2 linked regions of the Oreochromis niloticus genome follow. Each later gene encodes a partner of the first gene's protein in a complex. Links are inferred from orthologs where the notes say so. Each region holds a gene or a part of one and is shown on either strand. Other genes may lie near its edges.

Region 1 (7,045 bases):
TGGAAGCGTGCACATTGGGAAAGGCATCATTAATGCTGAAAGGTGTATGGATGTTTACAGTTTTGCTAAAAGAAGGTTGGATGCTACACAATGGTAAACATGGCTCTGTCCCACTGTCCCAGTTTATTTTTGAGACGTATTTTACGCCGAGTCCAAACTTTTTTGGAATTGAAGTTGTATAATTTGAGTGAAATGTACATCAATAATGCACTCACAGGTTAGAACCACTTGATGTGCCACTCACTCCAGCTCCACCTGAACTGCTGCTTCCTGAAGCAAACAAACCACATCTTTTATTTAATTTGCATGTTTCGACAAAATCATAAAATGTGTTAAAAGTTTTCAGTACCTTCCAGTGTCAGGGCCATTTGTGATGTCATTTTAGCTTTAATGGGTGAAACCTTCTCAACCTGCACACATGTAAACACACATTTTGTAATCAGTGAACACAAGTTACTCATGAAGCATATTGCCTGAAAAGACTGCAACACACTCCTACTCACACATTTCTCCACAGGGAGCGGCTTTCCTTTGTGAAAGTTGGTGAGAATCAGTGCAATTACAGTCAGAGTTTTACCCTAAAAGAAAGGAAACAGTGCAATTTACGCTGACTGTGGACGCTGTTAGAATATGATCACGTGACGTGTGCACTTAAATATGTGTATCTGTGTGTCACCTACCAGCCCCATGTCATCTGCCAGTATGCCTCCACGAACCCTCTCTGGTAGCTCTTTGGCAGAGAAACACGTGAGGGTGTTGTAGTAGAGCTCGCCTCTCTTCTCCCAGAACGGCGGCAGGGCAGCTTTGTTTTCGCGAGCGCACATCCAGGACAGCGCCTGCTTCTGATGGAGCAGGAGGGGAGTAGCCACAGACTGGAAAAAGAGACGGTTGTATGTTAAACACTAAAGCTGTAATCCGATATAACGAAAAGCAAAAGGGTGTGACAGCTTGGAGAGAAATACGAAACTCTTTCCTTAACTCCAGTATAAAAAAATAAAATGATCTCAATCAATGCATTTAACTATTGTTATTAAAGTAAAAAAAAAAAAAAACATATTGCAGACAAAAGCAGGTAATAATACCTACCACAGCAGCTTCTTTCTCTCCATCCTTACTCTCCATCAACCCTTCGAAAAGGTTATCAAATGCATTTTTTAGCTGAAAGGAAAAAAATATAAGTAAAAAAACACTGTTTTCAACACAGATACATGTTGGTCCATCCCATGAGTTTGTTATTTATTTGCTTGTAAGGTGTCCTTGTGTTTTCGGACCTATAAATAAAATGTATAATCATTATTATTATTATTTTATTATAAACTATAAAGCCTTACAGAGTACTACTAAAACATTTAATGTAATTTATTTACCTCATCAGCAGTTAGTGCAGTGGTCACACCTTTTTTTGATGAATATGCGCGAGCATCTTGTCTACTATACCATTGTTGATTGTCGCCTGAAATCCAACGCATGCAGGTAAATGAAGGACCACGAGCATTTACACACACACAGACACACATTAAAATTGAGTTAATTAAGTCCAGCAATTGTGCAGGGCGTACCTTTCAGTTTGCCTCCCTCGGTGTTCAGCTTATATCCTCGGCGTGACATATGTTCCAGTACAGAATTTTTACTCTCTTCTTTTCCCCAGAAGGACAGCATCACCGGCATGGTGTAGGTGTTTTTCGTCCCCGAGTATACCACCCTGAAAAAGTAATGAGAAGTGTATTAGTACACAAAGGAAATTACAGTTTGCCAACATTAATCCTCTAATAATGAACATGCGCCTCAGCTCAATGTCACTATGACAATGTCACATGTTTGGTTTTGCAGATTTTTGCAGGAAGATTCCCTTACTGCACAACCCCAAAGGGATTTGTCTCTTCTCTTGGAAGCAAACCAGGGATCCTACATTTGTTATCCAAAACAGTACACTATAAGGAATATATGTACAAAAAAAGGAGTAAATAGTTTGATTAAATAATGTGATTTTAGTGGTCAGCAACACCTGAGTGCTTTTGTTTAGGGGTTCAAGTAGTGATAGTCCTATTTTCTGAAAGGGACAATAGTTTCGGGCACATAGCAGCTCACCCTTCTACTTTAGCTAAGTTGTTGTCCATGATGTAAGCCATTGCTGCTGCCAGCTCCTTCTTGATGTGTCCGACTTGATTTCCATAAATGTTGGCAACCATCACTGCGTTGCGGTCATATGGATTCTGAGGCTGCCGCACTAAACCGACCATCTCCCCTTGGTTCACCTGTCCAGAGATAAAAACACCTTTTGCTTTTCAGGTTTCTCCACATGTTTCTGACCTGTGTTGTCTCCTCTGTCCACTAGAGGAATAAAAGAGACCCTGACTGATCCTCACCACCCCTGAGTAATATCTGAGGCCGACCACGGTTCCCTTGAGCTGGCCAAACAACACGCTGCCGTCTGCATCGGGCTCCTCAGACGCTGCAGCTCTGATGGCCTGTGAGAGAGTCTCTGCATTGGATTCATGGCGATCTGTGAAGAGGTCCACCTCACTGAACCTGCCCCAACCAAACTTCCACCTGCGGTTGAACTGCATGACTGCAGCAGAGATAAAAGAACATGAGTTTAGATAACAGAGTACTCTGAAATGATGTGATAAGATAGGCTGCAGACGGTAACGACAGAAAATACGCATTCTAACTTCGAAGACACGCAGATGCAGAAATAGCACTTAAACAGTGGAATTAAACTATAATATAAATAACAATATATAATAAAGTTAGCTTGTCAACCTATACCTACATACAGACTTATAAGCTATTAAGAGTTAGCATGTGTAGTGTGTCCATACAAATAAAAGACTGTTACAGAGTGTCGACATGAAACAAATCGTTCGTACTGTTTAACTTCCTCTCGGTGAAGACTGTAGTTTGTTGTTTTTGACGTATTTTGTTGACGTTTGAGCTACTTTCATCTGCTGCTTATTCAAAAAGTAAAATCGGCTTTAGTTGCTCTATAACTTCCGGTAGTACTTTTCAAAATAAATTATTATCGTCGTTTAAAAAGATCGCCCAGTAAATAGACATTTTTATATGAGAGCTTTCACGTTTAGTCATCAAATGAGTTGTAAAATAAAAAGAGATTAGACAGCGATAACCTTATTCAAGACACCTCTCATCCTGTATCAACATCCTGCTTTACCACCACCAAAACCATACACCCAAATAATATACCTCACTTGACAGGTTGCACCATGCATTAGGGTCTACATATTTTCTTTTCCCTCTACGTCTGCAAAGGAAATCAGAAAAGAAACCAGCAAAATACAGTGGAGGATCTGTGTGTTGGTCCCCAGTAGTACTGGCGATCTTGTCAAAATTGATAGAATTATGATACACAAAAAAGTACCATCAGATTTTGAGCCACCAAATAATACCATCTAGAAAGGATGGGCTGGCCTCCCCAGAGCCTGGACCAGAACATTATTGAAGAAGTGTGGGACCATCTACCACTATCCAAAGAGAGCCCTGAATGTCCTTCAAGAAACCTGGAGAACGATTCCTGATGGCATTTTTAAAGAAATTAAAAAAACACTGCCTAAGAGAATTCAGCCCGTGTTGAAGAATGAAGTTCAAGCTCAGAACTTTAGAACTGTGCAAACTCAGTATTTCCATATATGTTTGCACATGTTTCAATAAATAGCTGCACTCATTTCACTTTTTTCATGCAATAAGAAGAAATGGGGGATGGATCAGACCCTGAATCTTTGATCTAGACAGTACTGTACTTTACACATCTATTTACTGTTAATGTGAAGCTCTATATCTCATCATAATTTTAGACCAGTATATTTTATTAATCAAAGAAAATACAACAAACGGCAGTATATTTTGGGGTTTTTTTTTTTTTTTTCAAAAACCACCAAAAATGTTTTAATTCTTGTTTTTGATCATTGTGCCAAGTTTTAGAATTGTGAATTAGTTAATCAATACTTTTAAAAATGGAAGATGATACGTTTATATAATCAGAACAGCCCTTTTGGGTGTTATTCTGAAAATTAAAGATCTGTTGTTTCCGATGTTATTGCCACGGATGTTGCGCAGGAGCTGCGTTTACGCGCCTTTGAGTTTTGCCCTAAAAGCACTACGGAAGCCGCGTGGTTCCGATTGCTCTGTTTGTTTCGCTTCCTCTCCGCCAGGTTCCTCCCCGGCCCGAGCACGGAGTCAAGTTGAAAACACTCGGGGAGAGAAAAGAGGGCAAACTGTAGCGTGATAAAAGTCGGCTGCTTTTTCGCAGCGGCGAGGGCTGTCGTGAAATCTCAGCGTCAAATCTGGGCTTTAAACGGACTGAAAACAAACAGACACGGGGCGGAGTTTTGGTAGTTTTGGCCGGAGTGCGGTTGAGTTTTGCGGTTGACAGCAACCGGTAAGTTAAGACTTCTTCATTCACTAGTCAGTGCAACACTTGTCTTAAACATTTTGCTTCGGTTTGATCTTTTTCTGGCACAGGAAGCACCCAAACCGGATAGCATCTCCTTCCATAATTACTGAGAACACACTAGATCATACTGATCACTAGATGAGATTAAAAAAATGTATATAATAAAGTACAGGAGGCAAAAAATTAAGATACCAGTGTGAATTGGGTTTGTGGCTGGCTTGGCCACATTGTCATATTGTCAAAGTAATATAATAATTAACCCAAGTGATGTCAGTCTACAGGGACTGTGTTCACACAAACCGCTGGAATCTATTCTACAGATATGAGTCTATAAATAAGCAAAACCTGCTTTAGTAATGACGGTACCGAGAGTGAGGTGTTGAAGTTGCACTCTTGAATGTGATTTACATCTGTAGGACCACATTTTTAACTTAAGTAAGATGGACTTTAAATGAATACAGCCTGTACTTGCAGAGAAATCACACACTTAAATCAAATTTAAACCTAATTAGTGCATTTTTATGACATTTAAAGGCATTTTTGTTGTTGTTTCTAATTAAAATTGATAAAGAACGATCACGAATTTAGTAGTTTTCTAACAAACTTGTAGTCAGTGCACTGTAAAGCAGCACGTGATCAATTCTAACTGTATGAAAATGAATCAGATATATTATAGTCAGTTCTAGACATTGTTTAAAACAAGAGCTAAACATGACTTTTTCTAAAAGGTGTTGGCCAAAACAACTTTCATCCTGGAAAATCGGAGCAATGTGGGGATCACGTGGCTCTGGCTTGCCAAAAAGTGCTATACATCTGTAAATCTGTGCCTGTCATTTCTCCATTCACACTGTGACTTTTGTAATCGAGCAGGAAGCTAAAACATTGCGACTTTGATTCGTGAGTTTAGTTCTGCACCTGATACAAAGCCTAAAGCCTTCAAGTTGCTTGCAGGTTGATTATTTTGAGCCATTAAACTGTTGACACGGGGGTTTGGAAAAACAGGATAAGGTGTTCATTGTGGGTGTGCAGCTGGGCAGCGTGTTTATGCTTCATTTACTGTCAGACTTACGGTCAGGGAAGGGACGTAAATGGGAAGAGGAAGAACGTAAATACAGTGTGTGTGTGTGTCTGTGTCTCTGTCTGTGTGGTGCACATAAATGTGTGATTTCTCATCTAACTGTATGTTTCTGCATATTTATGTCACTGAATGAAAGGAAGGTGGAAGAAAGCTGTGTGTCTGTGCGTGGCTTCATCACTCCTTCCATCACTCATTATCACTCCTTCCAGGAAGTACTCCACAGAATTTCCTTTTATAGAAGCTGAATACAAAAGACTTGTTGTCCACTTCCTGTAAACATCTTGCCGGCCGTGTTCTCCGCTCTCTGGTTGGCTGGTGTGATCCTGTGACCCTTTGTGGCTCAGGGAGTTCCAGGATGAGGAAGTGGGCTTCCCTTGATCGCAGCCAACCACGGAGAATAGAAAGTACCCTGATGTAGTGAGAGAGTGGGGAATGAGGAATAGAAATGGTATAGGCACAGGCATGTTGCTGGCCTGGCGGGACAGAAGATTTTAAAGGCAACATATTTCAGTAGAGCTGAAATAACTGCTCAATTAGAAGCTTAGGTGATTGGGTGAAAGAAAACCTGACTATTTTTCATAATTTTGTATTTTTTTAAAGCATAAAAGCTAAACAAGTGGGTCTAGCTTCTTAAATGTGAAACTTTTCCCTTTGTTTCAGTTTCACATCATTTCATTTATGCACAACTATCTTAAGGTCCAGCCATAGTATTTCAGTCAGTTTGAGGTGTGAGTTTTGACTGGGACATTGGAACACCTTGGTTCTTTTCTCTTTCAGCCATTCTGTGGTTGATTTGCTGCTGTGCTTGGGAATATTGTCTAGACCCAATTGTAAACAAGTTTAGTTGTTGGACAGTGGGCATCACATTTGGCTCCATAGGAGGAAAGCATGGTTGACTCAACGACTGCAAGGTGCCAGGCCTTGTGACCCACAATCACCATGCTTGACAACTGGTCTCAGGTATTAACCTTTTTGGTAATAGAGTTGTCACTTAAGAGAGAAATGCTAAAACCAGCTACCTGAAGCTATGCTGAAAGGCTTAAAGCTAAATGCAATCAGTTTAAGCACAGTTTATGCTTGGAGTGAGACTCACAGAGTAGCTCACCACAATGTCACTGCATGTTGCCCACAATAGTGATGGTATTGTAATACAGCTATTCTGTGATTGTAACTTCAATGTTTACTTTGAAAGTGTTGATAAAAAGGTATAGAAAAGGTCAGGGGTTGCACTTTGTAGAGCTAGAGAAAGCATATGGTAAGGTGCCAAGAGAGGAACTATATTACTATATCAGGAAGTGGCAGAGAAGTGTGCGAGGGTGGTGCAGGACATGTAGGAGAACAGCGAGACAGTGGTGAGGAGTGACAGATGGGTTTAAGGTCGAGGTGGGATCTGCCCTGAGCACTTTCTTGTTGGCGATGGTGATGGGACACGTTGACAGCTGAGGTCAAGCAGAAGTCTCTGTGAAGAGGTAGTGAAGGTGGGTGAGTTTAAATGCCTGGGTTTAACCGTGCAAAGCAATGGACAGTGCACAAGAGAGGTGAAGAAGAAAGCGCAG
Region 2 (6,841 bases), on another chromosome or scaffold:
ATCCTGTTCCCCTCTCTCTTTCTCTGGTGTTATTCAACTTTCACCAGACATGAAACACAGTGGGATTTTTGTGATCTGCACAAGAACAGTGATGTGCTGTTCTTGTGAGTCAGTTGAGGGCTTGCAAGATACAAATCAAACTGACTAGGCAATGTTATCACCTGTTTTATTCATAGAGTTGCAACATCCTCTGAGAGTTTATGCCTCACTGAGAGAGGTGTGTTCATGCCTACAACATTCAGCAGATTCCTCAGAGCAGTGATAAAGCAGGGACTTTGTCAGGGAGGGAGTGGCTCATCTGCCCTTTAACACTCGGGGAAACATAAAGTACTCACTCAGTTACAATGCCAACAGAGAAAGCTGTCTGGATTAAGCTTTACCAGCTTCTCAAATGGAAATGGTGCTGGTGCTTGCTTACAAAAACACATGTATAAAAAGTTGAAGATTTATAGGCAAATCTGTCTAACTTAAAGATTACATAGCTAGGAAACACAAGACACAAGAGGTTTAAAAGGATTCAGCACTTTTAATGAACAAAACTTTACAAAAAAAAAAAAGCAATGCTTTTTGGTCTATTCTCTTCCACTGTTGTACTTCCTACTTCTTTCCAGTCTTCTTCATTTCCAGCTGATAGCACTGCTCACAGGCAACAGACAGTCCAACAACCAGAGAAACAAACTCCTCAAAGTTCACAAGACCATCACCGTTGGCATCCAAGTCTTTCATGATCTTGTCCACAGCAGCAGGATCTTTTTGACACTGTGTTTAAAAAAAGGGTGTGTGAGGATACATCAGCAACAGTGAGGTTGCACACGAGGTGGCATAGTGTTGGATTACAGTGTGTAAATAATGCGCAGCGTGATTGTACAATTTACGTTTTGGTCTCATCTCACCTTAAGGAAGCTGGAAAGCTCAGCCTCCATTAGCTGTCTGAGGTTTTGCCGGGTGAGCGAACCATTCTTGGCGTAACGGTGGAACACCTTGATGAGTCCTTCCATGCAGTTTTCCAGTTCTGAAGGCATGGTTGCTGGAATGTGTTTAGACTGAAAAACAATGTTCAGATACAGCAGAAAATGTTGACTATGACAAGTGATAGCAATCCAGTTTAACTTCAGCTGACATTTTCCAAACAAGTCCTTAGAAAGCATTTATGAAAGCTGCTTTGGCTGTGACGCTGTTAAACTCGTCCATTATTGATGGAGCTGACACATTTGGGTCTTTGTTGTACTTCCCACTGATGAGTGATGCTCGTGGGACGACAGTAAAGGTATGTCATTGAAATTTTAGTAAACCACTGTGCAAAATACAGAAAATCTCAACATTTGAATTACTGTCTTTGTAGCTGTAAGAGTTAAAAGAAAGGAGAAGTGGGAGGGAGGGTGTGTTATTTGTGTGCAAGAGAATGGAAAATGTGAACAACTTGAACTGAAAAATGTGAGACCCAAAATGGTGGGATTCAATGTGAGTAATGAGATAGGACACTGGAGGAACAAGCACATGTGTGTACATGCCCACACCCAACCCAACCACCCAACCACACCCTTACAAAGGCTTATATCGACTATATGGAGACCTAGTTAACTGTCTTAAATGTGAATCAGAGCTTAATGTAAAAATGTTAATTATATATTTTATTAATAAAAGTAATTAGAACATTGGAAAAACAATTAAAGTGTAATTAATGTGAAAGATTGAAAACAAGAGAAAGAAACACAATAAACTAACTAAAAGTTGCAGCCTAACTTAGTTACAGCAGAGGAAATACACAGATCCGTTAGAAACCGTTAGAAATTCACAAAGAGGGAGCTTCAGTAAATACAAAGCAGTGACTGGGAGCGGATTAAAGTAGGTTAGACAATATGAAACACTATTCTCACACCCAGAGGGTCCTAGCTGTATGTCTGTATGTTTGAGCAACTAAAGTTTATATTAAAAAAAAAAACTCGTGGCAAAGCCACACCTGTAGGACAAGAGCAGAAAGTTTCTTACCGTACAGTTGCTGGGACGTGGTCAGCAGAAGAGGTGCGAATGTTCAGACGTCTGCAACAAGCAACAGAGATTTTATAGTCAGGCGCCGCCCTGGCTGTGCGCACTGACTCACACTGTGGCTGTGCAGACGCTGGACTCTCTGAACAGTTAATACACTGGAGTAATAGGAGAGTAAATATATCAGTACGACTTTAGCTTAAGTTTAGTCATCTGAATTAAAAACAAGGAAAAAGTTAGTATTGTTGCTGATAGAAGAGCTAAAAGCCGTTTTTGTGGAATTTAAGATAAATTTTCATCAAAGTTTAGGCTACCGGTTTAACAGACCCCCCGCCCCTCTCCACCGCCCACCTCCCACACACGCACTACTTTTCTGTGTTAATCTCCATAATAAACACACCTTAGGTTTAAAGGATTTTTAAAAACTATTTACTGTAATTTCGTAGGCTGGAAAATCTGTAATTTACCTGTTAGACTTACTGATACCTAAAGGAGTATTCATACGACAGCTAAAGGCCCGAGATTTTCTGTCTGGTATTGTGAGACAAAATACAGAGAACAACAACAACAACAACAACAACAACAACAAATAGCAACTAAAGAACAGGATTTTTGATAAGCACAGGAAAACATACACATCAGCAGAAGAGCCAATCAGCAGCATTCTGCTGAGTACAAGCTCAATTCTGTAAACTATCGCTATCATTCACAACAGAGGCAATCCAGCCAGTGTGGTTTCAAGGACTGTTTTGTCTCATATTATCTGCATTTATATTCCTATCATAAGGTGAACCTTTACTCCTATTATCCTGAAATGCTTTTTATATCAAAGATGGACGACAGATAGCTGGATGGATACAGTGCGCCACATTGTGGTGAAAACAGGGTATTACAAATGGTACGCTTTGGACCCAGTGTTAAAGCTGTGTCTGAATAACAAACCGATCCGTTTGTATCTCATTTTATTAACAAAGGAGAAAAAAAAACATAATTTAACATGAAAATCACCAAAATACTTTATTGCAATGTTTCCTGCACTCAACTTTTTGTTATTTTAACCTATTTGATCTCGCTATGTATTAATGTTAGGTTTCATGTTAATCTCATAGCTGATCAAAGTGGAAGTGCTTTTTACTTTATTAGCCTAATCCTGTAATCCTAATCTGTTGTCCCATATAAAGGACAGTAGAAAAATGTGTAAAAACAGACATACACAGTGCTTAACAAGAAAACTAAAATATTGTAAACCTGTTTAAAAAGTTTATTAAGCAAATAACAAACTGAATATCTATCTATTTTTTTTAACCCAAATTTCTGCCAGCACACTTTTAACCTCTACTACCTTTTTTAACCTCTACCTTACTATTTTTCTTGCTGTTATCCTTAAATATATCATTTTAACTGAAAGACCTACAAATACAGTACTTGACTAACTCTCTTTTTCTAATAACTCGTCAGTCCAGATTTCCAGTTTTGTTTCTTGGTTAAACCAGTTCTCTTCTTATTATCAGACTCCATTAGTAGTGATTTCTTGAAGCAGTTTTCTGAAAAGGTGATCTTTTGCAGGGAGGGTTCGAAGAACCGTAAACACATTATGGCAGAAAAATGACTATATCAATTATTGGTGTATAGAGTGGAAGAGTGCAGGGAAGATATGGACAGAGACAGACGATCCAAAGAATGATCCTATGATAAGGGTTTGAAATAAATACTTCATTTCATCTGAAAAAGTTGAAACCAGGACAAACAGTAACAAGTTTCACACAGATTTGTTGCCAAAAAAACATAACCAGCAACTGAGTACACCACGCACGTTTCCATCCTGCACTTACCTAAGTCCTTGTGCTTTACTTGGCTTCCATATAATAATAATTATATTACTGTCAATAATAATAATTCTATTAATAATTAACCACTTATCCAGGTCAGTGTTGTGGTTAGTCTGGAGCCGAGTTTTTACTGGGTGAAAGGCAAGGTACACCCTGGACAGGCTGCTAGTCTAACACAGGTTAATGTAATAAAATTATTAAAGTGACATTACACAAGATGTCATTTTGTTTATTTTGGATACTTCAAATACATTTTGTTGGTGCTACAGGAATGTGGGACTTATATTTAAGCTATATATTTAAATTAAGGCCATAGTTCTTCTTAAGAAAGGCTTGAGTAATTCCTGGCAAACATCAAAATCGTTGTCATTAGTCTTCTAATTCTCACAAGTGTGTACTGAAAAACCTGACAAACCAGGTCTCCACATACCCGTCGTAGGAAGAACTTTACATCAATATTTGCACTGTGTCTACAGCCATAAAATATGGTGGTGGCTCTGTCATGGTCTGGGGCTGCATTTCAGCCTCTGGTGTTGGGGCTTCTTAAAAGTGATAGATGTACAAATACAATATAAAAAATAAAATTAAATCATTGGCCCTCATAAGCACGAAGCAATAATAAAATAAGTAGTGTACTAAAATACAACTGAAATATAAAAAATAGAATATTTATTCAAATAATGAATGATTAAGAACATATGCTTGGTCTAACTGAATGTATACCATTCAATTAAACTACACAGTTTACCCTGAAAACAAACGTTTTTGGAAACAAATGCATTTCCAAAAACTGGATTACTATCAGTTATCGACTGGCCTCAGCCCCCAGACCTGTACCTTATTGAAGCAGCTTTGGATCATCTTTACAGAGCAATAGGCAGCCAACATTCAAAGAATAGCTTTGAATGTCCTTCCAGAAGCCTAGAGAACTAAAGACTATGTAAATTACAAGAAAGCTTGTATTTTGTTGAATGTCGTGTCAAATAGTATTTTTGGATAGAAGGAAACCATTCAGAAACAGGTCAAGTCAGGAATTCAGAGGCTTATCTACTTCTTAGTTAAAAAAAAAAAAAAAAAGGTAGTAAACTTTATGGCTTTAAAAACAATCTGGGTGGATTTTATCATCCAGCAGTTTCAGTGGTTTACATATTTCACATTCCTATAGTCCTGAAAGGATTACCTATAATCAGAGATGGGCAGTAACGCGTTACAGTAACATGTTACAAGTAACGCGTTTATTTATTTTCTGCTGTTTTACACTTGCATCTATTTGAAAGAGTGGGTGTAAACACAAAACATTTTATTTTATATGCTGGAATATGCAGAAAATAGGTTTAAATGTTAAACAGATTTCTTAAGGTCAAAGACTGTTGCATATAATTTAATTTTTGCTTGATGCAATGTGCATGAAGTTATGATTAAAATTCATTTGATTACATTTTATATGATGGACTATGCAGAAAAAGTAGAATTGGACTAAAAGATCTATTGCTTTATTACCTTTTCAGGTTGTGTATCATGTTTTGAAAGATTAATTACTTATTTTCAAAAGTAATCAGTAAAGTGACAGGATTACTTTAAAGTAATAATTAGTAACTTGAACACTACCGCCAATAGGCATAGTTTTCTAACAGTAGATGGCAGCATTACCTGAAGGAGGTACAGTGGACACAAACATCAGTGTTATATTCTTAAGCCCATGTGAGAATAGGGGGCAATATGGGTATATCCTAACATGGAACAACTAGTTCAGAGGTGTGAATAGGCAACTAGCAAACATTTCTATCCATCCCTAAGACAAATCAAGTTAAAGAAAAAACAAACGCAGTCTTTGACAGACTTTGTTTTGATGTGAATCCAGGTAAGGCCTATATTGGGTTTCTTTCCACATCAGCAGTGCTTTACTTTGGGAAGCCTTTTGAATCCAGTTCTTTCACGACCTTTTGGAGGGCGTCATGGCTTGCACAGGCGCAACCAGCAACCAGTGAGGCGAACTCTTCAAAGTCCACACGTTTATCATCATTGTGGTCGACACACTTGAAGAGCTCATCTTCATTTTTTCCCTGCAAAGGTGAAACAAACATTTAATAACTTTGAAAATAAGAGCCTGTGAATGTAAAGCATTTACCATTTCTCTACTTAACATTACAGGTGTTTAAGTTTTGAGCCAGTCGTTTATGTTCATTTCATTAAAACAAAACACAAGAAAAGGGCCGAGTTTAATAATACTTTGTTCTTTTAATTAATTAATTTAAAAAAAAAAAATGTATCTCTTGGTTCATGCTTTTAGTCAGGCTGTTATGAGAAATTTGCAAACTCAACAGATTTGTGAGGCTAGTTGATTTTAATGCTAAGCTGTGCCTTAAACATTTACATTGCACTTTAGTGACATCGAGACACACATTTAAGGTTACTGTGATCATTTGCAGTGATTTACTACAGTGTTTTCCCTTACCTCACCAAGTACGGGTAGTTCATCCTTCACTAGTTTTAGAAATTGTTCTTTGGTCAGTTTTTTGTCATCTCCTTGGTAGGACATGTAGACACTGAACATTGCAGCCAATGCCATTTCCAGTCTTGTTGGGTCTGACATTTTTGCAGCGCTGTACAAGAATCTGGACAAGAAATAAAATGGATCATGAAATATTATTTGGCATGCATCGGCAGAGGGACAGAAATGTAGATGGACTGCACTTACAATAAGTCTTTACTTTTTAAAAATGTGATTCTTAACTAAAAGTTTTACATACCTTTCAAAAGGAAGAGCAGCTTCACTGAAACAAAATACATGCAGTTAGAGTAGAACCAAAACCCAGCCAGTTTAACATAATTACAGATGAATCTTCAACCACAAGACAAAATTTGTCTAGTTTCTCTCTAAACAATAAAAGTCACAGAAAAGTCTGCTCCTACCTGGATTCAACGGAGTCAACGGAGTGAAGAGAAAACCACCTCCATAGGGTTCAACAGGGTATTTGTGACACTCACATTGGCTGTTTTCAAGATTCCTGTTTAGCAAGTTTGTT

The links. The genes of interacting proteins can lie anywhere in the genome.
Region 2: the proteins of hltf (region 1) and protein S100-A10 are in contact, whole or in part, in a crystal structure (PDB 4HRE), measured with the Homo sapiens proteins. The link is inferred for Oreochromis niloticus from reciprocal best matches to the Homo sapiens genes HLTF and S100A10. Residues at the interface, in NP_001305864.1 of Homo sapiens: Thr32, Phe33, Phe34, Pro35, Phe37, Phe39; in NP_002957.1 of Homo sapiens: Phe42, Asp58, Leu59, Asp60, Gln61, Gln70, Ser74, Leu75, Ala77, Gly78, Leu79, Ile81, Ala82, Tyr86.

Annotation. Positions count from the first base shown.
Region 1 is NC_031983.2:20,228,480-20,235,524, forward strand, and holds the start of hltf (helicase-like transcription factor), read right to left. Parts: upstream 3,017-7,045; 5' UTR 2,871-3,016; intron 2,570-2,870; 5' UTR 2,568-2,569; coding exon 2,367-2,567; intron 2,256-2,366; coding exon 2,089-2,255; intron 1,703-2,088; coding exon 1,560-1,702; intron 1,454-1,559; coding exon 1,368-1,453; intron 1,159-1,367; coding exon 1,087-1,158; intron 873-1,086; coding exon 681-872; intron 579-680; coding exon 504-578; intron 411-503; coding exon 350-410; intron 271-349; coding exon 216-270; intron 1-215. UniProt on the Homo sapiens protein: Has both helicase and E3 ubiquitin ligase activities. Possesses intrinsic ATP-dependent nucleosome-remodeling activity; This activity may be required for transcriptional activation or repression of specific target promoters.
Region 2 is NC_031985.2:17,139,039-17,145,879, forward strand, and holds protein S100-A10, read right to left. Parts: upstream 2,143-6,841; 5' UTR 1,990-2,142; intron 1,044-1,989; 5' UTR 1,023-1,043; coding exon 894-1,022; intron 760-893; coding exon 598-759; 3' UTR 507-597; downstream 1-506. UniProt on the Homo sapiens protein: Because S100A10 induces the dimerization of ANXA2/p36, it may function as a regulator of protein phosphorylation in that the ANXA2 monomer is the preferred target (in vitro) of tyrosine-specific kinase.